Linked DNA regions of Drosophila melanogaster. Changing the gene in region 1 together with any one later gene gives a genetic interaction. Each region holds a gene or a part of one and is shown on either strand. Other genes may lie near its edges. The genes, in order: Nedd8 and Den1.

Region 1 (3,517 bases):
AACTGCGTTTTTTACCAATGCAACATAGATTACTTTGTCGGAGGATTCAAGATCGGGGCCTCTTTGCACGCGTGTGGAACGGCGACAGATATCGTTTTGCAGCAGTGCCGGAGAGCCAAGGCACATTTTGTTTGCTGTCCTTGCTGCTACGGTTCTCTGCAGCCCATGCCTCACATTTCGTACCCATTGAGCAAAGCGTTCCAAAAGGTGTTAGACACAAAGGACTACTTGTACATTGCCCACTCGGCAGATCAGGCACACGAGATGGGGACAACCAACTGCAAGCCAGAAACCACGCTTCAAGGACTCCACTGCATGTCCGTGGTGGACACCGATCGCCTGCTGCAGGCGGAGGAGGCGGGCTACCAGGTCATTCTCACACGCTTAAAGCCCGAACAGTGTACGCCAAAGAATCACCTGCTAGTCGGACGTTTTGTTAAACAGAACTGAACTTACAATCTGCCACTGAGACAAAATAAATGCCTTTTTGATATGTTTTAAACCTTAGCCCACCATTGTGGAGTGTTCTTCTTTTTTTCGAATGATTTAGATGTTGGCTTACAAAAAAACATGTTTTATTACGGACCCGGTTGGCCCCAATCCATTCTGTCTAAATTCCTCCGATGCGAATACACTTTGTTTTCTTCTAAACCACTTTTAAGACTTCTTTTTAGTTTACATATATTAATTCTCCATATGACGCTTCTCAAGCTTAATATATTTGAGTGAATTTTAAATGAATGTTTTCCACTTATGAACACGCTAGTTACACACAAGGTGTTAGGATTGAATCACCTCCTCGCAGAGCCAATACCAAGTGAAGAACGGATCCACCTTGCACTTTGTAGTCCGCCGCGGTTTTATCGTCATTCCTGGGGGGGATCGCATGCGAAATAAGCTAAAATCAATGACCAATAGCCAGAAAGACTCACATTTGCTTGCCGGAGAAAATAAGACGCTGTTGCTGGGGCGGAATGCCTTCCTTTTCCTCCACGCGCTCCTTGATGCGATCTACCTTGTCCGTGGGCTCAATGTCGATCTCGATTTCCTTGCCGGTCAGGGTCTAATGGAAAGATAATACATATTTACATTAATAATCCAGCCACACATATATTGACTGTAATATTCGACGATTTTGTTGTTGTTCAAAGTGCCCGCTGGGCACGATGGCTGTGATTTATCTTTATCCTACTTTTTTGCTACTCCATATCTTCCACACTAACCTTCACTTTGATCAACATTTTGTGTGTATTTAACTAGGCGCTCCTGTACAAATTCAAAATTGCCGAAATTTTTGCAAATCTCCACAGCTGGTTCTCTTTTTTGGCTGTCACTTTCGGCGTTGGTACGACTGGCAACTATCGATAGTACTGTCGATGACCATCGATTGTTTTCCACACTATTACAAATATAGTATTTTCTCCATCATTCCATCTCTACACAATTCACGTGTAAAAAAATACATTTCGAAAAAGGAGAACTTAATTTATGTAAATTTTTTGTAGCTTGATTTATAGTGTGCCCATTACGGTTAGAAGTCTCACATATTTAGAATTCAAATTCTCCTTAAATTATTTTACTCATGAGATGCAAAAATCCATTGAATGCCATTACTACATTTTTTAACTTTTGAAAAAAATGGAAGGCGTCACTTTTGAGGGATTTGAATTAAGAGCAATTTGTTTATTAATGTTTTATCTCGGATCTTAGAAAATTAAAAAGTATTTTTTTGTCTTTTGTCTTTTCTGTTTTATTAAAATAAGTTGTATGCCTTAATAACTAAATACATTTATTTACAGTACTAAATGGATAACTACTTTGTTCTTTTCGAAGGTACTGAGATCCCCAGCTTAGAAGTTCATCCCTATGAGAGCTTCTTCAGTTTGTTCCAGTCGCGAATGGCCTCCCCGATGTGGCGTATATCCCTCGCATAAGTGCGACAGCATCCCCCAATGACCTTGGCCCCCAGTTGCGCCCACTCCGGAACGTAGTTCGCCAAGGGCACACAGTGCTCCCTTCCCTGCCAGCCGTTGACCACGTCGTATACCTCTCCGCTATTGGGGTACACCACCAACGGTATCTGCTCACCCACTTCGCGGTCACCATTCAAACTCTTAAAGAGCGGGGTCACAAACTTCGGATGCACACAATTTACTCCGATGGCCAGGCACTTATCCTGGGCATTTCGTTCAGCCAAGAGGTCCCAAATAGCATTCGCCGCGTCCGCAAAGGTTTCTCCATGCGCCAGGGTATTCTCATCCTTGCACTGGAAGGCCACCCAGAACTTCACATCCGGATAATCATCGCACAGCATCTCCACCAGGGCCTCCGCCTCCATTTGACAGGGAATCGTCTCGATGGCCAGCGCATCCACACCAGCCTCCAAGCACGCTTCGATCCTCACGCGATGCCAGTCCGTAATCTCCTTGGCCGGCACAAAGTCGGCATAGCTACCGGTGTACTCGGAGCCATCGTGCAGGTGGGCCCCAAAGGGTCCAATGGAGGCAATGATCAAAGGGTATCCTTTAAAAACAATAAATTGGAATATATAATTGGTAAATATTACTATATATAAAATAAAGTATTAAAGAAAGTATTAAAAGTAATGACCCTACCACATCATTCACTTGACCACAATCTAAATTAATCCCGCCCGAGCTGGACCTCATGGATGTCAACTTACCCTCCTGCACCGACAGCTGCGCCTGATAGCACTCGGTGAGATAGCGTTCCTTGGCGATGTGGGCCAGGCGGACCGTGTTCTTTATCAGCTCGATGCTCTGCTCCTCGTCCAGCTCCAGGTACTCCATGTAACCATCGACACTGGACTGGTAGGTGTTGGTCAAAATGATATCGGCACCATCTGGTGTTGTCAAGGGGAAAATTCAGTTAGTATGTTGCCAATTGCTACCGGAAAACAATTGCTTACTCTGCAAAAAGTCCAGGTGGGTGCTGATAATGGCCGCCGGATTGGTGGCATTGAAGCGGGCACTCCATAGCGGATCCCCATCCACAGAGTCACCCACATGGACGGTCATCTGGGTGCCGAAACCGCCATCCTTCACCAGCACGCGCGTCAAACCCATGATTGAAAGATTACTAAGAGGGGTGGAGGATGATCCGTTGAAAATTGATTATTAGTTACATTTCTACGTCAGCGGGCTGCGAGATAATTAAATATGTATATTGCGTCTGCCACCTGGATTCCACTGCACTCAGGGCGATGTTATACAATGTATCGGAAGAACTAATCTCTATTTTTCAGTTCAACGAACTTGGCAGAACAAAAGACCAGTGGCTTAATCTAAAAAACACACTGAGAAAAACAGCTCAAAGTTCTTTAGCTAAGATATATGTTATATGAGTCTTATGATTTATTATAAAAAAGATTTAATTCTAGGAGTATTCAGCTTTCACTGAATAGTATACAAATTTAAAACCAAGGTCACATTTTTACGTATCTCAATAAATGGCGAGTTAAAAGCCTGAAACATTTTATTCTGTATACGCTAAATTC
Region 2 (3,842 bases), on another chromosome or scaffold:
ACAAACATTGTCACGGAGTTGGGTATTTTTTTACACTCTAATTATTTTGATGAAAATGAAAATAATTATTAAACAAATTGAAATGATATATAAATAAATGATAAAACATGTTTTTGCTAATCTTATTATTTGATTTTCTATTTGATTTGGGGTAGTGTTTACTAATTACATCTGCAATTTTTTTTTATTAGGTGACGTGGTGGGATCTTGGAATTGCTGGGCGCAATCCAATGTAGCCGTGATCGTCTAGTGGTTAGGACCCCACGTTGTGGGTTACCACACCCAGGTTCGAATCCTGGTCACGGCAATGTTCAAATAAACATTGTCACGGAGTTGGGTTATTTTTTATTTTTAAGCTTGGAATTGGCTATTTTGTACAAAATGTTGGTTATCGAAAACTCGTTGAGTTTTAAGTCCACAAGCACCAATGAACGAAATACTTCAAAATAATTAAAATTTGAAAATATACATTTTTCTGGCAAAGTGAATATGGATGTCACGAAAACATCAAGCGCTGAGGAAACCGAAAACACGGAAAATACTAGTCATGCTAAAAACATTAACGAAAACGTATCAAAATTTTATGAAACTATTGGAAATATTTCCCGAAATATGCGCAAGGACGATTGGACATATCTACAACGCCATCCAGAGATCCGAGCCATAATTCGGGTCATTACAGCCGAGGCGGTTAAGGCAAAGCCATCGAATATCTACCAATTTACAGCCAATTTATTTGGAAGCGAAAGAGACGAGGAGATGGTAGAAAAGGCAATAATTTTTGTTTGCATATTTACATAAATGAAAAAAAAAACGCTTAAAAGAATTGTAATTTTCTAGATAAACAAGCAACTTAAGTGGTTGGAAGAGCAGTTGCGAGGGGGTACGTGGAATCCTGACGAAGGATGTGCCCCGTTTCCAGAATCCAGCGAGACTTCTTCGGAAACTAAATGCCAAACTAATTTTAATACCACTGCGAGTTTCAACATACCCGAAAAGCAAGTTTGCCCTGAAAATTATAAGCCAGATTGCAAGAAATGTTAAAAATGTGAACTTAATAAATTCAAAAAAAAAAAATTCAGATTGCAAGAAATGTTAAAAATGTGAACTTAATAAATTCAAAAAAAAAAAAAATCAGATTGCAAGAAATGTTAAAAATGTGAACTTAATAAATTCAAAAAACTTTTTAAAAGGAATAAAAAATATTTGTAATTAAATTATACATATTTAAATTACTTTTTATAACTTTGCCACATTAGGCAACACTGCATTTCACAGTCTGCACTGCCACCTATTTAGCGAGCAGTCTGGCAGCCCAAGCCAGAAAGTAAGATATACAGTACGGCGACTTATTATTTGAGCGGAAAAGCGGAAAAACTATTCAGAGTGTTGTGTAACTTTTTATATTAGTGAAAATATCAGTTGGTAAATTCAAGTTATTTGCTCCCAAACAGCCAAATAAATGGTAATACGCGAGGAGTGTCCAAAGAACGGACAAAAAGCGAGGTCGCGACTTCGAGGAGGAGGAGTAGCCATTTTTCGTGGTGAGTAAAAAATATATATGTGGGGATCTGACCACCACCTTCACCTCCTCAGTGTCCTCTATTTTGTTTTGCTACGCCCATTCGTTGTCAAAGACAATAACAAAACAGCTTTGTACGAAGATTAGTTAATTTCGATATGTTTATTTTGGTTTAAAATACGATTATAGTGTTCTTAAAATGCGCTTGGCATGACTGATTTCTGATTGCTTTGAAACCACAACAATAACAACAGTACCGGCCGGCAAACGAAAGGGAAAGCAAAAGCAAAAGGAAACCGAAAACGTCATTCCTGCGTTGACTTTGAAACCCTGGAGTTGTATTAGTCGCCGGAAAAATTTTATTCTTTTAGCCGAATTTTCGCGAAGATTGTTAGTGAAAATGTTGCCCCACGATAGGAAAATACTTAGGTGATAGTCGCCAGCTGGAACAACACGAATCTAGTCGCAACAACATGATTTAAATCAATTTTTTGCCATTTATTTTCATTCCAGGCAACATACACGCCAGAACCAGAATACGAATCGCCGGCGCCCCAGATTCACCAACAATAGCTTCCATACCAAAATGGGCAGCAACTCCAAGGCAGACCCCATCTCGCTGACCTTCCACGACTCCTGCCTGCGGATGTCCGACGTCCAGTTGCTCCACGGCCCGCACTGGCTGAACGACCAGATCCTGAGCTTCTACTACGAATACCTGGCCCACATGAAGTACAAGACCAATGCGGATCTGCACTTCATTGCGCCGGAGATTACGCAGTGTATGAAGTACATGGGCGACCAGGAGCTGAAGCAGCTTCTCGACCAGAGCAACACCACTGGCAAGCCCTTTATCTTCTTCGCGCTGAACGACAACGAAACCACCGATGCTGGTGGCAGCCACTGGTCACTGTTGGTCTTCTCGCGTCCGGAGAAGACCTTCTATCACTTCGATTCGTATGGGAACAACAACACGGGCAACTCCCTGGAGCTGATGAACAAGATCAAGGACCTGCTTGGCGTCCGAATGGCCAAATTCCGGCCCATGCGCTGCCTACAGCAGGCGAACGGCTACGACTGTGGCATCCATGTTATCTGCATGACCGACCACATTGCCGATTACCTAAACAGATACGAGGTGATCGACGGACTGCCGTCGCTGCACATCGACACCGTGAAGGCGAAGCGCACCGAGCTACTGAAACTCATCCTGTCGCTGGGCGGCAAGGGCTAGAGGCTAGCGAGGATTGCCCTGCCGAACCGCCCACAGCCGAGTAGTTTTTAAGTGACCAAATTACGAATGTAACTCGTTGCCGAAGAATGAGAGGAGCATCGGAATTACATATGTGAATACGATATCCATGATATCGCTAGTTGTAGTGGGTTTAGTTTTCCTTGCCGAATGAAAATGTTTAAAAAACAAAAGCAAACTAAAAGCAATTGAGGCGGTGAGTCGGCATATTTTTAAGGTTGGTCTTTCAAAATAAAGATTTGTTTAGCCACAAAACGCGTTGGCTTCGAATTCAGAATTCTGACTTCTCTGCTTGTTTGGTCAATGGGCGCCTGTCGCCAATTAATGAAAACAAAGATATCAGTTGGTTGCAATTATTTATTATAAATGCAAAACGGGAACGGATCCGCGCGGATCTATGATTAGATTACATTTAAAAACACATACAAAATAGATAAATCCACATCGAAAATTGATATTACAATGAGGCACTGGAGTACACAAGGAATACCTTTCATCGCCAGGCGAATGCTCGGGTGGGTAGGGGTAGTTAGTAATGGGTGGGGGGAGACCAGGACGTTAACCTGACCACTACTATCTAAAAGCTAGCTAAGCTGCATACTTGCACGTTTGAGACTGCTCCTAGAGCCGAACTTCGGGCTTGGCCCAACCGCCAAAGGCTCGCTCCAATTCCTCGGCAACGGCCAAACAAAGTCGATCCTGATTGAAGTTGGCGATGATTTGGACACCCAGTGGCAGACCCTCGCTGCCCAGCTTGCCCAGCGGCACAGCGGTGGCCGGGAAGCCCAGCACATTGACAATACCAGTGTAGGCAAAGTTAATGGGTCGCGTAATGGGCTCATTGTGGTATGGAGCCACCGTGGGATGCGTGGGATAGATCAGCACACCATTATCGCCCAGCAGGCTTTGCAACTCCTCCCTCAGCTCATTTCGTTTGCGCACCAGATGATCGTACTTGGGAGATCCGTGCTTGCACTGTGCACTATCCATGATAGCTGTCGACAGGCCAATGAATGTGTGCTTGGAAGCGCCGAAGAACCACTTGAAGAGCTCCAGGTACGTGTTGAT

What was found.
Region 2: of Nedd8 (region 1) and Den1, changing one suppresses a phenotype caused by changing the other (phenotypic suppression), as found in Drosophila melanogaster (one study listed by BioGRID).

The regions. Positions count from the first base shown.
Region 1 is NT_033779.5:18,950,475-18,953,991, forward strand, and holds Nedd8 (Nedd8 ubiquitin like modifier), read right to left. Parts: upstream 1,364-3,517; 5' UTR 1,242-1,363; coding exon 1,224-1,241; intron 1,064-1,223; coding exon 933-1,063; intron 873-932; coding exon 767-872; 3' UTR 532-766; downstream 1-531. Other genes in the region: CG10428 (uncharacterized protein), read left to right, coding at 1-450; CG10621 (uncharacterized protein), read right to left, coding at 1,865-2,523, 2,684-2,863, 2,930-3,086. UniProt on the Drosophila melanogaster protein: Ubiquitin-like protein which plays an important role in cell cycle control, embryogenesis and neurogenesis. Covalent attachment to its substrates requires prior activation by the E1 complex Uba3-Ula1 and linkage to the E2 enzyme UbcE2M.
Region 2 is NT_033778.4:12,336,498-12,340,339, forward strand, and holds Den1 (deneddylase 1), read left to right. Parts: upstream 1-1,802; 5' UTR 1,803-1,922; coding exon 1,923-1,951; intron 1,952-2,035; coding exon 2,036-2,756; 3' UTR 2,757-3,047; downstream 3,048-3,842. Other genes in the region: CG34021 (uncharacterized protein), read left to right, coding at 490-771, 841-1,044; CG8839 (uncharacterized protein), read right to left, coding at 3,396-3,842.